3 linked regions of the Ovis aries genome follow. The protein of the gene in region 3 interacts with the protein of the main gene of each other region in a pairwise test. Links are inferred from orthologs where the notes say so. Each region holds a gene or a part of one and is shown on either strand. Other genes may lie near its edges. The genes, in order: TSGA10, SERTAD1 and ZNF410.

Evidence for each region.
Region 1: the proteins of ZNF410 (region 3) and TSGA10 interact in binary tests that used the Homo sapiens proteins (3 or more experiments, as listed by UniProt). The two-hybrid records come from large-scale screens. The link is inferred for Ovis aries from reciprocal best matches to the Homo sapiens genes ZNF410 and TSGA10.
Region 2: the proteins of ZNF410 (region 3) and SERTAD1 interact in binary tests that used the Homo sapiens proteins (3 or more experiments, as listed by UniProt). The two-hybrid records come from large-scale screens. The link is inferred for Ovis aries from reciprocal best matches to the Homo sapiens genes ZNF410 and SERTAD1.

The regions. Positions count from the first base shown.
Region 1 is NC_056056.1:102,254,037-102,259,607, forward strand, and holds part of TSGA10 (testis-specific gene 10 protein), read left to right. Parts: intron 1-3,063; coding exon 3,064-3,273; intron 3,274-5,571. UniProt on the Homo sapiens protein: Plays a role in spermatogenesis. When overexpressed, prevents nuclear localization of HIF1A.
Region 2 is NC_056067.1:49,177,448-49,183,755, forward strand, and holds SERTAD1 (SERTA domain-containing protein 1), read right to left. Parts: upstream 3,768-6,308; 5' UTR 3,642-3,767; intron 1,954-3,641; coding exon 1,234-1,953; 3' UTR 900-1,233; downstream 1-899. UniProt on the Homo sapiens protein: Acts at E2F-responsive promoters as coregulator to integrate signals provided by PHD- and/or bromodomain-containing transcription factors. Stimulates E2F1/TFDP1 transcriptional activity.
Region 3 is NC_056060.1:83,364,238-83,370,345, reverse strand, and holds the start of ZNF410 (zinc finger protein 410), read right to left. Parts: upstream 3,954-6,108; 5' UTR 3,899-3,953; intron 1-3,898. UniProt on the Homo sapiens protein: Transcription factor that binds to the sequence motif 5'-CATCCCATAATA-3', and is specifically required to silence expression of fetal hemoglobin in adult erythroid cells.

The sequences.
Region 1 (5,571 bases), on a different chromosome or scaffold from region 3:
CTACCTTTTGTCTGTTGTCTGAAAACAGATTTTTCCCTCCTATATTTTGTTCATTTTTCTAGTTGCTTTTGGCAACAGGGTAATTCAGACCCTGTTAATCCCTCTTGTCTAGATAATAGCTGTTTTAAGGCCCTTGTCTGCTAATACCATCTTTTGTCATTTTCCATCTGTTTACATCAACTAATTTTGATGCTCGTGGATCACTATTCCTGTATCTTTACATGTCTGATATATATATATTTTTAAACTGAATGCTGGACGTTGTGGATTTTACTTTGTTGAATGTTAAATTTTGTTGTTTTCCTTTAGAGAGCGTTGGATTTGTTTTGGCAGGCTCTTAAATTACTTGAATATCAACTAATACTTTCAAGATTGTTTTTAAGCTTTGGTAGGGCAGATCTTAAGTAGCCTTTCCTGTAAGACTAGTTTAGCCTCACCCCTAAGTTGTGACCCTTCCAGATTCTCTATTAAATGCCCAGTCCAGGGTGTTCTACACTAAAGAGTTTCTTAATGAGGGTGAAAGAAGAGAGTGAAAAAGCTGACTTAAAACTCAACTTAAAAAAAACTGAGATCATGGCATCCAGTCCCATCACTTCATGCCAAATAGAGGAGGAAAAAATGGAAACAAGGGCAGATTTTATTTTATTTGGTTCCAAAATCACTGTGAACAGTGACTGCAGCCATGAAATTCAAAGACTCTTGCTCCTTGGAAGGAAAACTGTGACAAATCTAGACAGCACATTAAAAAGCAAAGACATCACTTTTCCAACAAAGGTCCGAATAATCAAAGCTATGGTTTTCCCAGTAGTCATGTATGGATGTGAGATGCGGACCATAAAGAAGGCTGAGTGCTAAAGAATTGATGCTTTCAAACTGTTGTATTGGAGAAGACTCTTGAGAGTCCCTTGGACTGCAAGGAGATCAAAGCAGTCAATCCTCAAGGCAGTCAAGCCTGAATATTCATTGGAAGGACTGATGGTGAAGCTCCAATACTTTGGCCACCTAATGCAAAGAGCTTACTCATTGGAAAAGACCCTGATGCTGGGAAAGGTTGGAGGCAAAAGGAGAAGAGGGTGGCAGAAGATGAGATGGTTAGATAACATCACCGACTCAACGGACGTGAATCTGAGCAAACTCCAGGAGATAATAAAGGACAGGAAAGCCTGGTGTGCTATAGTCCACGGGGTTGCACAGTCGGCCACGACTTAGCAACTAAACAATGAACCACCAGGGTGTTCACTAAGAACTTTTCACTTTCACAGGCTCAAACTTTGTCCCTAGCTTTGGCACATTTGTTACCAGCTGATCTTGACTCATTTTCTTTGTTTTTGGCATGTGAGAATTTCTCTTTCTTACCTACAAGTTCAGCTATAAATTGCAAAAATAATTTTTTATTCTATTTCATCCAGAAGATTTTCCTCTTAGCTTAATCAGCAATTTTACTAGAACCTGAAACATTCCATACATTCTTTTCAAAACTGATCGCAATAACCTCCTCTGTAATATCTTTCAGTGGAGGTAAAGACCTAGATTTTGTTGATACCTGGGTTACCAGGCTTTGTTTTGTAAGTTGTATGTGTTTTCAACTGTGTCTCTTTTCACTCTTTTCTGTGGTCTCTGAGCTCGAGACATAGGAAGGAGCCTTTTCTCTGCTCTTGCTTCACACTTGGCATCCTCCAACTTGAAAAGCCACCTTCCCCTCACACATTGTGTATCCATTTGCTTTTCAGATCTCGGTTCAAGTGCCATTAACTCAGAGAAGGCTTTCTTGACTTCCCTGATCCTCTCAGTCTAGGTCCCTTCCCTGTGTTACAGTTTTTTTCTCTAGAATGTTTGCCTAATCTGTATCTACATATTCATCTTTATGATTATCTTATTGACTGTGATTCCCCCATAGTCTGGAAGCCTCATGAGAACAAAGACCATTACCATTGGCTATGCATCTAGGCACATTGTTGGAACATAGAATATACATAAAAAGTATGTATGGAATGGATGGATAGGTGGATGAGTAGGGTGGATGGATGGATAGAAGTTTGTTTGAAGAATGTGTGAGTAATTGTATGAGTGAGGAAGGAAGGAGAGGAGAAAGGAGTGTATTTTGGCCAAATAACTTATTCCAGGAGCAATTTTTTGTGTGTTGTACTTGTGAAAACACTTATAAAATCAGAAAAATTTCTTTGCTTGCCTCTTAGTTCTCTTAGCCTCATATAATAGCAAATACTTCTCTGTAGGTGGCAGTGCACTTACATAAGAACTTTTTCTGAAAAAAAGGGGGGGATTATCTTGAATATTTGAAAGCATTTATATAACTTGAATCTCATATTACAGTGTTTAAAACATGCTCTCATTTTATCTAATATGGATATATCCTTAATTTATAGTTATCCAGTCTTTTTCCCTCAGAGGTATTAGTAAGTGTTAGAGAGTTATCAGTCCTCATTTTATGAAATTATGATCCATATCAGCATGTAATTCAAGAATGGAGAAGTAGGCATAGTGAATGAAAGAGTGGCTAATGTTTTATCTTTAATAGCAACAATATTTACATTATAGAATAATTGTAACTGTGGCAAATATAGACAGAACTACAAAGATATATATATATCTCAACTAGCTTTGGGGCTGAGACTTCTAAGTTGTTTTCTCAGTACATTAAAAAGAATGATCAGCTGACCACTTTACTCATGGATTTTGTATATGAAAATTTGAAACCGGAATTTATCTTTCCCAGAATGTTTTGTACGTGCTCTTACCATCTATATCAACTATAGTTCTTTATAGGGACTTCCCTGTCCTTTACCACTTCATGGAATGTCCTTTACCATTCCCTGTCCCATGGTTCAGGATACATGCTTCCACTGCAGGAGGTATGGGTTTGATCCCAGGTTGGGGAATTAAGATCCCACGTGCTGTTTGGCAAAGCAAAAAAAAAAAAAAAAAAGAGAGAGAGAAAGTTCCTTGTAATCTAAAAGTACTGTCATTAAAAGATTTGCCTCGCTTTGTTTTCTGTGTCGTGGGTTTTTCCCACATTAAAAAATATATAATAATTTGTCCTTGCAGCACTTAAATGCAGAACGGTCTTACAAGTCCCAGATTGCTACTTTACATAAGTCTGTTGTAAAGATGGAAGAGGAGCTTCAGAAGGTTCAGTTTGAAAAAGTGTCTGCCCTTGCAGATTTGTCTTCTACAAGGGAACTTTGCATTAAACTTGACTCAAGCAAAGAACTTCTTAATCGACAGCTGGTTGCTAAAGATCAAGAGATAGAAATGGTACGTCATACATTTCTAAATGGTTCTTTTAATAATGCTATCACTGTAAAATTTTTGTTATTTTAGGAAAACAAACTTTTTTTTTTAAAACAAAATGCTACAGCAAAGGTATGTCTTTCAACTTTAGATTTTATTTTTAAAGTCCAGGATATTGATTTCTGTTGTGTTGCAAACCATTCAGGACCATAACAGAGACTCTTCCTTTGTGTGCTCTGCATTTACTTTTAGTCAAAAGAATGATAAAGCACACTGACATATCAGTCAGCAAAGAACCGCAAGGTTGAGGTTTATCTAGCTAAATTATAATTTTAATGATATTGTTTAAAGTTAAATTTACTGTTTGGCTGAGTTCTTTTCAACTGTAATTCACTTCATTTTATCTGTCGTGTGCCTGATGCCTGCCATCATGCTTGCCATGTGAATATAATGCTCAAAAGGTACAGTCCCCCTCTCTCAAAGACCTCCTGGTATTGACATACAAATAATTTGGGGTGAATGTGATACTAATAAGAAATGCTGAAGGTTTCAGAGAGGAAATTCCCATTGGCCTGTGGGTGTCGGAGAGGAGTTCATAAGGGTGTACTACTGAACTCAAAAGGAATGAGGGAATAGCTTAGGCAATGGTATGGAGGTATAAATAAACTCTGGAGTGAGCAGTAAGTCATTTGCAGTGGCCAGTGTAGCATGCACAAGTGACTGAGATGCATCTGAAGAAATAGATGGGACCTGAATCCTAAAAGGATGTATGTTAAAGTTGCATAGTATAATTGAAATATCAACACGTTTTGGCTACGTTTACATTTCTGTTATTATCACACTGTGTTGAACTCCTTATTTTGTTAGCCTACTGCTTGTTAGGATGATATGATGCATTCGAGAATGATGTGTCTTGTTGGCTTCTGTAAGAAGTTCCATGTAAAAACGGATACACAATTGTCCTTAGCAGCATTCTTCATAATTGCTAAGAAGTGTAAATAACTCAAATATTCCTACATCTATGCAAGGGAATATTATTTGGCAGTAGCAGTAATGAAGGATTGATAGCTGCTAAAACATGGAGAACTCTTGAAAACATTACACTAAGTGAAGGAAGTCAGTCATGTAAGACCACACACACACACACACACCACACACACACACACACACAGTATGTTTCCATTTATGTGAAATGTTCAAAATAAAGCAGATCATAGAAAATAGATGAGTTATTGCCTAGGGCTAGTGCTGGGGCAGAGGTAAGGGAGTGACTGCTAATGTGTACTGGGTTCCATTTTGGGATGATGAAAATGTTCTAACAATAAACTATGAGAATGTGGTATGATCACATAACTCTGTTAATACTGTGTTGGCCGAAGAGTTTGAGTTTTTCCATAAGGGGTGTTACAGAAAAACTCAAACAGACTTTTTGGTCAACCCAGTATACTAAAAACCATTGACTTGTACCTAATTTAAATGGGCAAGTTGTATGGTATGTGAATTACATCCCAATGAAGCTGCTGCCAAAAAAGTGATGCTCCATTTTGTATTCCGCCAGCATTGCCTATTTTAATGTTAATCAACACGCATTAAGACATTTGCCAATTTAATAAACTGCAGCATTGGTTCAACCGAAAGAGGTTTTTCTCCTCTGAATATTCAGCAACGTCTGGAGGTATTTTTGAATGTCACACCAGGGTTGAGGGGTGCTGTAGACCTCTAGTAAGTAGAGGCCAGGGATGCTGCTCAGTATCCTGTAAGGCACAGGGCAGCTCCCTATACCAAACAATTACCCAGCACAAAAGATCAGTAGGGTAAAGGTGAAGAAATCCTGGATTACAGATACCATTTTGCTTTAAGTTATGCTTCTTTGATTATTAATACAAGATATATTATTCTCTATGTTTACTAATTAGCTGGCTATATTTTGTAAATTTTCTGTTCATTAATTCATATTTCTCATGAATTAGTTTATATTCCTTTTATTAGTAAGCTATAACTATTTACTGAGTTTATTTTCATCTGTTTTTTTCCCTCAAATTTTGGTTGTTTATAATGACTGTAGATATGTTTATTTTTGCTATGGTCAGACATCATTTTTAACTGTATCTAGTCTAAAAAGTTGTTACCCTACCTGCCTGCCCCTCTCCTAATAATTCATTTTTATTAAACTTTCTTTTCTCAGAGTTTTACATTAAATTTTTAAATATATATATAATTTATTATAATGTGCATTATGAGATAAAGAATTTTTTTTTTTCTAAATACTGATGTCTGGTTTCCCTCCTTTTGGAGAAGCATTTGGCTTACAGAATATATTTT
Region 2 (6,308 bases), on a different chromosome or scaffold from region 3:
GCGCGGCCCTGCCCCCACGGCCGCCAGGAAGGACGCCGCCTGGGTCCCGTGCCAGGCCTCTGAGTGTGCGGCCCCTCCCAGCCGGGCCAGGAATGCGGCTGGACGGCGGGGGCGGCGCAGACACCCGGCGCTCAGGCCGGCCCTATCGCACAGGCCTGTCAGGCAGGTGGCCCCAGCCCGCTGGGGCTCCGAGTTTCTTCTAGAACGAAAGCAGGATCCCTTGCCGTTCTTTCTGTCAAGCCACCACACTTAGTGGCTTTATTTCGGAATCGGCTTCCGGAAGCTGCCTTATCCCTAGCCCAAAGAGAGATTTGAGACCTGGAGTGGATTTTGTTTAAAACTTCCTGGAGTCTTTCTTTCACCATTTTCCCAGAGAACTGGTTCTCTGCGCTCAGAGGAGAGGCTGCATCCAGCCTTCAGCTTTGTGCTTTTATTTCTGGTTCATTCTGAAAGCTCCTTCTGCACCCCCAACTCCAAGACACGCAGGTAGACTCCAGGCAAGGTCTAGATTTCATTTTTCAACAGTGGCCTGGGGCTCCTCCTCCTCCACCACCACCCACCACCATTAGGTACACACACAGGCACATGGGGAGACCTGACTGAGTATATTCCAGAAGTTTTCTAGAGAGCCAGTTTCCAGACCTAATTGGTCTGCTTCTCAGACCAAAAAACAGTAAAGTTTGAAACTTATCTCCCTAAGAGTTGACTTCTTGGATCCTCAGTTTTCTCAACTGTAAAATGAGGATAATGACATGCCCATCTTGTTATGAGGATTAAATCAGCACACGTCAAGTGCTTAGAACTTGCTGCGTGCACAGTCCTCGCTTGATAAATGCTAGAGGTTTTCTACCACCCTCACCAGTGCCTTGGCCCAGAAACAAAGCAGTACACACACTTCAGACTTTCCAGGACTGGCTTTAATTTCAAAAAACAGGTTGGGGTCTCTTCCCCCATCGACGCAAATGTATACCAGGCTGTGCCTCCAGGGATTCAGCACAGGACCTAGTCCAATCACATTCCAGCCACCAGGCCCTGTCATTTCATCACAAGGGCCAATCCCAGACTCCCCTCCCCATCAGTCAGAGACAAGAGGATGGAGGTGAAGTTGCCCAGGACTGGATTCTTTCTCTCCAAAGCCCCTCTCAAGGGAAGCCAGCTGTGTCTTTCCAAGGAGAGTTGGTCCAGCCAGCAGGCTCAGTTTGGACATCAGATCAACATCCCGGCCCAGAGGGGTCAACGCCCTGGCCCCGGTGGTCGCTCCAGCGCCTGTGTGCCCACCAGCACGTCCATGAGGTAGTCCAGCTCGGCCTCGTCCAGATCTGGACCTACCTCCTTGCCTGGTCCATCTTCAGGGCTGGATTTGTGGCCCTCAGAGACTGGTGCCCAGAGTTCACTGTCATACATGGACGTGTCAATGTCCTCAAACAGGCCCTCGAGCCCATCGTCCAGCAGACAGCCAGTGGCTGGGCCCAGCAGGTCCAAGGCGCCCAGGCTGGGTGAGGCTCCCCCGGCAGGGCGGCCTAGTGGCCCCTCATCTACCAGGGGCTGTGGGGCCTGGCTCAGGCCCTCAATATGGCTGAGGTCCTCCAGAAGGCTGGCCATGGAGGCTGAGAGGGCAGCATCAGAGCTGGCCAGCAGGTTGTCAGCCACGCTGGGGGCTGTAGGTGGGGTGGGCACAGGTGGCAGGGCAGCCGTGGGTGCCATGGATGCCTGGATTCGCCGCAGTGTGTTCACTACCAGCACCAGGTGCCGCAGGTCCGGCTCACTCTGCCGCAGGCTGTGATGGAGCTTGAGCACCGAAAGGTCAAAGAGAGAACTGGAGGCTACAGCTGGGGGTGCCTGAGCTACTGCTGAGTGGCTGGGATCCAGCCACCAGGCGTCCACTGCCAGGGTTTCCTTCTCCTCCTCCTCCTCCTCCTCCCGCTTTCGCTTCAGGCCCTTGCTCAGCATCATCTGTGGGAAGAGTCATTCAGTTATGGAAAGCCAGTGTGAAGTTCTGACCATTGCTGTGTGATCTTGGGCAAAGCACTTAACCTCTCTGAGCCTACGTTTTCTTGGGGAAGCTTTAAGACATTGATGATAATTGTATCTACTTCCTAGAGTTGTTTTAAGGAATAAATGAGATTTTAAAAAGCACTTTGGACAGTGTCTGGTACACAGCAATTACTCCTGTAAATAAGTACTATTGATAATAACTATTATCTATTTCTTCAATGAACTATGTGAAATGGCTAACATGAAGAGTCCAGTGTGAAATGTCCAATATTCAACTTTTTTTTTAAAACCTACAAAAGCAGTTGTTTCACATGGTTTAATCTAATATTTACTGAGTGTCTACTAATAGCATCAGACAATAAACAAACACAAGAAATGTACGGATGGTGCTAGGAAGATGCTAAAAGTTTCTGGAGAGTGGTCAGGGAAGGCTCCCCTGAGGAGGTGACATCTGAAATGAGCCCTCAAGTACGAGAAAGAATCAGCCATGGAAGAACCAGGGGGAAGGCATTCTGGGAATAAAGAACAGCAAAGGCAAAGAAAAGCCTAGAGACTGGATGAGTCTGAGCTGAAAAAGGACTCTGTAGTCAGTGCGGGGGTTGGGGGTTGAGGGTGGAGTACGGAGGATGTGGGGGTTCGAGAGTAGGCAGAGGCAAGGAGCTTGGATTTTATTGGGGGGTGTGGTGGGAAGCCACTGAAGGGGTTTGAGCAGGGAGGACAGTGGTGTTGTGGACTGATTAGGTTTCCAGAAGATCCCCTTGGCTGCTAAGAGGAAGGGGGAGCGAGGAGGGGAGGGGAGAGCGGCCCTGAGATCCTTTCGGAGGCTACTGCAGTCTTTGGGGTAGGCGAAGACGGTGACTTGGGAGCATAAGGTGGCAGTGGGCATGGAAGGAAGATGGTCGCTTCAGGATTTATTTGAGAGACAGCGTGGACAAAGCTTGCCGGAAAATCCTGATGGGCACGGGGGTCACGGAGAGAAGTTTGAAGACCCACACTTTCCCCGGGGTGGGTGCCCCTGACCCAACCTGCTTTTTTTAAGCCAGGCAGCCTGTAGGGTATAGCACCCAGATCCTTGCCCAGGAGAACTTCAAGAGTGACCCTCTCACACTACTCAAAACTGGGTCCTCGCCTCCTTCCCAGCAAATCCGAGAGTCCGGAACCGCAGGAATTCAGCCCCCACTCCCGACTCCGCCCCTCTGGCCCCGGCGCCCCCTGGCGGAGCCAGGCCGGCTTTCCCCGGGGATTCCGACTCTCCAGACCCCAGGACTCTTTACAGTGCCCCGCGGGACGTGGTCATTTCTGCTTGCCACCAGGGACCGTGCGGGCCGGGATCCCCGGAGGGCCGTTCTGCCCTCTCGGCCTCCGCTCGCTTCCGGAAGGCAGTGGAGGCTACTCCTCCCGAAGCGGCGGCGGCGGCGGGGGCGGGTGAGTCACGCAGCCGGAGCCAGGGAGCCGGCGCCTCCGCCCCCTTCCCGGGCTGCGGTGTGATTCACCCGCCAGGCCCGGGCGGGCGGCACGGAGAGGCCCGTGCGCCTCGATCCCGGACAGCCCTGGCGCGCACCTGCCGGACCGGGGGATCGAACCTGCCAAAGAACCCCGCGGCCAGTACCCCTCTTTCCCCAGGCCTCTTCCCTTCATTTACATACCTAGTTCACCAGCTGCCAATCAGAAAGAAGAGGGAGCCACCCGCAGCCAATCAGGAAGCGGTGGCGGCAGCATTGCTCGCCCGCTCTGCTTCAGCAACCGGCACCTGGGTTGAGAGACGCAGTTCTGACTCCAGCTCACGACTCCCGGCTCCTGACTCCCCTTAGTTACCGCCCACTCCCGTGGCAGCCCCACCCTTCACCCAGGGATTGGTCCTAGACGGTGATGGGCGGAGCCTGTACAAAGCAGGCTAGAAAGAGGCGAGTTGTCTTTAGGGCGCATGTCCGGGAGGCTGCTTGAAGGGAGGGAGGAAGATAGGGTGGCTCTTGGCCCTGTAGGACGGTGGCGCGGTGGAGTTTTTGTCTCTCAAGCTGTGGGCCCCCTCACATCTGGCCACATCTGCATCACATCTGCACTTGTCAAACCCAATAATTGAGCTTACGCTAGCAGCCCCAACAGAGGTCTACACTCTAGGCCAGCTTAGTCCTGGATTCAAATTCTGGTTTTTGAGCCCACAGAGTCTGTTAAAGGGGGATCTTTTTGCCTACCTCTTGAGAGTTGGGAAACTTCAAGTAAGGTATTATCTGTAAGAGCACTATATAAGCAAATTCTGGGTAGTTGGACTCTGTCCTGTGATTACAGACAGGAGTTAGGGGTAGGGAGTGGAATGGCACTGGAGTCCCTTCCTGGGCTCCATTCCGTAAGTACAATAGCTGTGTGACCTTGACCAAGTGCTTTAATTCTTTAGGTTTTCTCACTTATTTTTAAAATGAGAGAAATAGCCTCTGACGCAGAGGATTGTTTTGAGGATTAAACAATTCCTGCACAATGCTGAGTGGTGTGTTAGGTGTCTTTTTTCATTAGTAATGGCTGTTGTAGTAATACCACAGGTGCTCAGTTCAAGGGGAGACATTCACGGTGGGGTGCACGTGGACAGGAGTTTAATACACGTCAGATAAACTGACAATGGGACTTACCTTCTTCAAATACCTCATTTGCTAATTCCTCATTCGCTAAGGGGAAGAACTGTTTGTGAATAAATCTTCTGACCAAAGTAAGCTATCAAAAATGCTAACTCAACTACGTGATTCAGACAACCATTTTCAATAGATGCTCACCCTTTGGGGTGAAAGTTAATGGGGAACAGGATCTCGACAGTTTCCAAAGCATCATCCCACAAATTCCTTGCTAACTGCAAAGGGGGAAATATCCTTTTATGATGGGAAGAGGAGGAGCTCAGCACCTTAACTATATAATGAAACTTTGCATCCACAGCTGCAGGATGCCCGGACACTGGGTGGTGCCTGACGTGATGCATTAGGCAGTACACAACCTTCGTTGTGGAGCTTCCCTGTTACATTTCATAAAGTGAGTCTCAAGTGTCTAGGCCCAAACTTCAGCATACAGGGAACAGAGAGCGACAATATTAAACACAAAAACAGTCAGACAAATACACAGTGTGGGAAGTCTACAGCAAGGCTGGGTTGTTCTTCCAAAAATCCAACTTCAAGAAACCACAGAAAGGGATTAGTGAGGTTAGGGGGTGGATGTTCCAGAATAAAAGATACTGTATAATTTCTTTGTTACAACCAAATAGGCATGTGAACCTCCCTTAGACTCTGCTGCTGCTGCTGCTGCTGCTAAGTCGCTTCAGTCGTGTCGGACTCTGTGTGACCCCATAGACGGCAGCCCACCAGGCTCCTCTATCCCTGGGATTCTCCAGGCAAGAATACTGGAGCGGGTTGCCGTTTCCTTCTCCAATGCATGAAAGTGAAAAGTGAAAGTGACTCTAGTTTGTGGTAAATTCTACAAAGGGTGTTCTTGAGAAAATTGGGCAGATTTGAATATAGGTTGGATACTAGGTGATATTCTGAAATTCTTAATTCTGTCACATGTGAAATAGGACTGTGGTTTGTAGTTGATCGTCCTTAATCTTAAGAGATGCCTGCTGAGCTATTAGAGGTACAACATTCAGATGTCTGCAATATACTCTCCAGTGGTTCAGCAAAAGAAAAAAACAGACACATATACATACACATATTCAAATAAAGGAAACAGAATGTTAACAACTAAATCTAGGTGAGAGGGTATTCAAGTGCTCAGAAGACATACTTTTTTTTCTTTCTTTTTTTTTTGTGCTTGAAATTTTTCAAAATGAATGAAGGGTAAAATGCTAATTAGAACCAGGCCCCTGTTAGGCAAACTCACATAATTATCTTTTTGGCCTGGAAAAAAGAGACTCAGAGTCTCCATCCAAGTGGCTCTTTCCAGGTCATAAAGAGAAGAAGAGCTCATAGGCATCTGATTAGTGTGTGTTTATTGAGCACCTAATATGTGGTGGGCAGTTGTAGACAATGGGGGCACAGCACTTGATACGCCTCACAGAGTCTCTCTTCTCATGGAACAAGGAATGGATGGAGTGGAAAGAGAAAAGAAGTATGAAAACAAATGAATTGAGCACTTTCCATGTGCCAGGCACTGAAGATATGGCTGGAACATTAGAAACAAAAATCCCTGATGTCAGGAGGTGGACAATAAACTGAATAAAGCAATGATTTAGTATCTTAGAGGGTGATAAGTGAAAAGGAAAAGCAGAGTGGAAGAGTAATGAAAGGGCGTGCAGTTTGGACAAAGAAGTGGTGGAGGGTTTCTCTGAAGAGGTGACATCC
Region 3 (6,108 bases):
GCAATCCTTCAGAGACAAATTTAAAGCCAATGATCTTCATGCTGCCAAATTCAATGGATACTTTACTGTTTTCATCTTACTTAAACTTTGCAAAGGACAACTATTATTTTTGATTGTTCCACATTCATTGCCCCTGTTTAGGTGACAGGATCCACATTTTGTTTGGGGATCTACCCCTCCCTCTCTGTATACATTCTTGGTGGGACTGTAGAATAAGGTGTTCTTTCCTATCTTAATCAACTGTTGGGCAGTCAACTGATTTGTTCATCAGATACTTTAACTTAGAACATGAACTCTAAAAGAAGTAACTAACTAAAAGGTGAAAACTGCTATAGCAACCTGTTCATTCCAGTACTGCAATCATCAGTCTTCCCCTGGGGATGCTCAGATTTCTGTCCTTTTCAAAGCCAGGGCCTTCAGCATTTCCTTTGATCCTGTGAGCTGCCCACATCCTTGTTATAAATTCCTCTTCTCCTCAAGTAAATTGGTCACTTGCAATCAGAGTCAGAACTGATATTTTCCCTTAGAAGCATTGCCTCCTTCCACAAACACTTTACTTACTCTCTTTTGCCTCTAAGATTCTCATTTTAATCCTACCTCATTGGCCACTCCTCCAGTCTTCTCTGATAACTCCTATATTCTTCCTCCACTCACCTTCTAAATACTAATGTTCCTCAGGAGTTTGCAGGCCCTCTTCTCTTACTACATTATATTCTCTTCCTAGTGTGAACACATGGCTTTAAATGACATGGTCTCCAAAATTTTAACCTATAGCCTAGATATCTCCTCTGAGCTACAAACTTGTACATATAATTGCTTATTTGACATCTCTACCTGATGTTATAATATCTCAAATTTAACATATTCAAAATGAATTCTCTTCCAACCCTGTTTCCCATTGTCCTCTGCCAGCCCCTCTGACCACAACCCTCGACACTCAAGGGAAGGCCATCATTCACCCCATTTAGAAGTTACTTTTATAACTTCTTTCCTTTGCTCCCAGTATGCAGTCCAGCTACAAGTCTGGACTTGAGTCTATCTCTAACCCACCTACTTCTACTGCCTCTACTCTACTCCAGGCCAACTCTTGCCTTAAAGTACCGTTACTGCCTCCTAACTGGTCTCCCTGCTTCTATTCTTTGCCTCCCTTCATTCTGTTCTCTTCGCATCATTCAATATCATCTTAAACTATGAATTTTCACATTTTCTTCATGTGGCTTCCCAATATATCTGGAAAATATCCAAAATCCTTATCCAGGCCTATAAGGACCTACATGATCCATTCCTGCCTCTCCAAAGACATTCCAGAGTTGTTCTCTATTACTTACTCACCAAGCTCCACCAAATGCCTCTCCCTTAGTTCCTTGAACACGTTTACCTCTTTCCTACGACAGTGATTTGCACGTGTCATTTCCTCTACCCAGGAATGCTTTCTCTTCTATTGGTTAGCTGTTTTTTCATTCTTCAGGGCTCTATTCAGCCATCAACTCACATAAAAAGGTTATGTATGCCTGATCACTTTATCCCAGGAAGGTTCCCCATAACCCCAGTTTTACTCTCTATCTATCCCTACTGTCTCCATTACAGCACCCATCACAATTTCTAATTCCTTTGTTTTTATATAGTATTCACTTTTTGTCTAGCTGTCATAAAAAAGGGCAAGCTTGTTTACAAATTGTAAGCTCCATAAACAAGGACAAGAACTTGTCTGTCTTGTTCACTACTTTATCTCCTAGCACCCAGAACCCATCACCTGGTGCCTGGCAGAGTACTGTATGTAATTCATAAGGAATTTAAGTCTCCAAGAGTCATTTTTGATACTATGAAGCTCCGAGACTGTCTTTTCTATGAGCTTTCAGGGCTTTTATGCAAGCTTCTCTGTAAGCAGCTAGTAGGCACTAAATAAACATTTGCATATTAAATGAACGACACCACAAATGATAACCAAATTTTTGTTGCTATTACTAACCTCTCTCTGAACTCCAAACTATTTCTAACTGCTTGCTAGGTATCCCCAAGTGGATGTTTATCTCAATTTTAACAATGTCCAAAATCCAGACTGTCATCTTCCCCACCAAACCTGTTCTTCTTCCCGTATTATCCATTTCAGTTATCGCCCAACGTTCCTCCCACTCAGCTACAAACTCTAGGTCTTGAACAATCTCTCTCATCCTCCAAATCTAAATAATCCCAGTGGTTCTGATTCCTCCAAATTTATTCCTACCAAAATGCACTGTTTAGGTTTTTCATTATCTTTCAACTCCAACATGAAAACAAGCTTCTAACTGGCCACCTTACCCTTAAAATTCCCCTTTCCAATCCATCTTTTATGCAGCCACTCGAGTTATCTTTCCAAAACACAGAGTTTATGTCACTTCCCTTGCCCAAAGTTCAGTGCCTCAGAATTAACAGTCAAATCCCTAAGCATGGCATTTTAAATATTCAACAGTATGTCCTCAAATACACTTTCAGTTAAAGCATCCACTATACTCAATGAATCCTTTTCTCCAGTACACACTGAACTGGCTACTAAATGAACACTCCAACCTATTTCAGTGTTCAAGATCTTTCCCTTGGGATAGTTCTTCAGTAATAAGACCCTCCAGTAATAAACGCTGCAATCCAGCTGTGATCTTTGAAATCCTTTCCTGTCTTCAAAATCTAACTCATATGCCATCCTCCATGAAGACTCATCTTTTCCCTCCAGTCAAAACAAATCTATCCTTCCCTGGTGTTGTCACAACACAGTTTAACCTCTCTTTAACAATTATCTCACCCTGCTTTGGGAGTTAGTTGTCTTTCAGCATGTTTTTCTCACTAGTTAAGGTTCACTGAATTTATTCATCCTCCCACTAACTCAGCACGGTGCTTGCACAAACTAAGCATTTAAGAAATATTTGCTGAATGAATAGGTAACCTTCATTTACAGGGGGTGTGGGTGGGGGTGTCAAAGCTAAAGATTAAGTAATTTGCAGAAAACGAGACCTCTACTTAGACGCAAAAATTTAAAGACTAGAACCTAAATCTTTTGAGCTTAGTTGACCTCACTATCTCATACGAAGACGGTGGAATTTTTCACTCCCTAACAATAACAAAATGCCCCTGGTTTTATTTTAAAATATTTCTTTCATCCTCTTTACAAATATGCTGCGTCGACCCTTGGGTCAAAATGAGGAGGAAGTACAAATTCTTAACTTCCAAGTTAATAATATTTAACTTTCAAATGAATCCTAAGTGCATTTCAGAGTCTCACGAGCAAGGGGGATAAACTTTAATAAACTAATTGAATTCTTTTCTCCGAAGAGACTTCAGAGGATAAATACAACCAGCGAAACGAATACAGGCGGTAAGCACTCACAGCCCCACACCCTCGCCTTCAAATGACACGCGAAAGAGAAGCCGGCGGCCCAGCCCCTCCGAGTCGGCAGTCTTTCTTCTTCTAGTCCCAGAAAGTGGACATATGGAAGAAGAGAGTAGATCTGGGGCTGAAATATCCAGGGCAGAGTCACCCTGGCATCATTGTTCCCCGACTACAACGGCCTAGTGAAGGGCCCCAAGGTTGGCGGGCGGGCCTCACTTGCGGGTGCTGTCTGGGAGCCCCCGCCCCGGGCACTCGCTGACTCTAGCTTTCTCAGGTCGGTCTTGTCCCCATATCCCTGGCCCCCAAACCAACTAAAGGAGCCGAAACACCGGCCCCAGAAGCCCTCGAGGAGAAAAGCCGAAGCCGTAGGGCTTCAGACCCGCCGCTCCAGATCCGGGTGGGGTGCCCCGGGGGCGGTTTCCCGGTCCTCTCCGGGGACAAAACTCGGCCCGCGCCCCCGAGAAGCCGGCACTGACTTCCTCCCTCTCGGAGACCACCCAGCCGAGCGGGTATGGTCGGGACCACCTCAGAACTCACCTTCCAGCCCCGGGCAGCAGTCCGTCCGTCAGTCGGTCCCGGATTCTGTCCACACAGAGCGTCTTCCGGCTCCTGCCGGAAGCAGTTCGAGCGCGGGACAGGAAGTTTGGCCGCCCCCACGCACACACCCACTCGCTTGCCTCCCAGCCCCGCGACTGTAGCGCCGAAGAGGGTTCCCGCCCGGTGGCCTCAGGCCTGCGCGGGCCAAGCTGGTGGCGCAGGGCTTGGCTCTGGAAGGGTAGGATCTGCACTCTCCCGCCTCCCACTCATTCCCTCTCGGCCTTTGTGGCTCCGTGGTCTGCGAAGCCCGAAAAAACGGGGTCAGTCAATTATAGTCGTGACGTCATTGCTTCCCTGCTGCAACGGACGGGGTAGTTTTTCCTGTCAGCTGAGATCAGTACAGGCTGCAGTGGAGGCAAGCGAGAAAGAAAAGATCACTACGTAAACATTTATCACAGTTCTCTGTGATCAGTGAAGAGGACTTTGAAGCTTAAGTGCCAGAGAAGGGAACTTCCAGAATAGTTCTGCACTGCATACCGGGCGGGGTAAAAAATTGAGACTCAGGTGTATAACTTTTTTTTGGAATGTGGATTCCTTAGTCTTCGTTCTGTCAGTACATTCGGATGTAAAGAGCTCTCGGATGTCCACAGGGGGCTAGAACCCTTGAGTTTCAGGCTGGATGCCACAACTTAGAGCTTTATGTGTCTGACTTGAGTTTTTGAGATTAGTAATTTTTGAATACTTGCTGGGTCCCAAAGGATGAAGGAGAGATTCAGCTAAGAGTGGTGTTCCAGCATGCTCAGCCGTGTCCAACTCTTTTGCGACCCCATGGACTGTAGCCCCACCAGGCTTCTCCAGGCAAGAATACTGGATTGGGTAGCCAGTTCCTTTGCCAGGGGATCTTCCCCACCCAGGGATCAAACCTGCATCTCTTGCATTAGCAGCCAGTTTCTTCACCACTGAGCCACCTGGGAATAAAAGGCATTTTCTAAGTAGGGCATTTTCAAGAATAGAGACAGAGTTGAAGAAACCAGTAATTTCCTACACAAAGGATGGTGATTTGAAAAGAAGCAACACCTTTCAAGGGAAGGTTCATTCCTCCCTAGATAAGCCGAGTTTATCTATCCCAGGTGCCTATGGGGTTCTTGTTCAGTTGCTCAGTTCTGTCAGACTCTGTGACCCCATGGCTGCCGGGCACCAGGCTTCCTGGTCCTTCACCATCTCCTGGAGTCCACTCAAACTCATGTCCATTGAGTCGGTGATGCCATCCAACCATCTCATCATCTGTTGTGCTCTTCTCCTTCTGCCTTCAATCTTTCCCAGCATCAGAGTCTTTTGCAATGAGTTGGCTCTTCACATCAGTATTAGAGCTTCAGCTTCAGCATCAGTCCTTCCAATGAATGTTCAGAGTTGATTTCCTTTAGGATTGATTGGTTTGATCTCTTTGCTGTCCAAGGGACTCTCAAGAGTCTTCCCCAGCACCACAGTTCGAAAGCATCAATTCTTCAGCACTCAGCCTTTTTTAATTGTCCAGCTCTCACATCCTTACATGACTACTAGAAAAACCATAGCTTTGACTATACAAACCTTTGTCGAAAGAGTAACATCTCTGCTTTTTAATATGCTGTCTAGGTTTGTCATAGCTTTTCTTCTAAGGAGCAAGCAGTATATTTACTTGGAAAGTGAAAGTGTTTGTCACTCAGTTGTGTCTGATTCTGCAATCCCATGGACTATAGCCTGCCAGGCTCCTCTGTCCATGGAATTCTCCAGGCAGAATACTGGAGTGGGTTACCATTCTCTTCTCCAGGGGAACTTCCTGACCCAGGGATCGAACCCAGGGTCTCTTGCATTGCAAGCAGATTCCTTACTGTCTGAGCCACCAGGGAAGGGCCTAGCTAGCTCAAGAGACTGGAAATAGAGATGAAGCTCTCTCTGGAGATGAAATAGAAAAGTATATACAACGGAAAGAACTGAAGGCCACTGAGGTCAACTGGAATGACTGATTACAACACAGTTCAAATCTACACAAAAGTATACTACAGTTTGTAAACTGCTGACCATAAAGCAGCACAACACTCAAAAAAAAAATCCTCAATTTTACTGTATTAAAGGGTTGATTACAATGAATAAACAAATGCTCTTATCTAGAGATACATTAATAGGTGCTGAACATTCATGTTTACAACCATTTATTACTTTTGCTCAGTCAG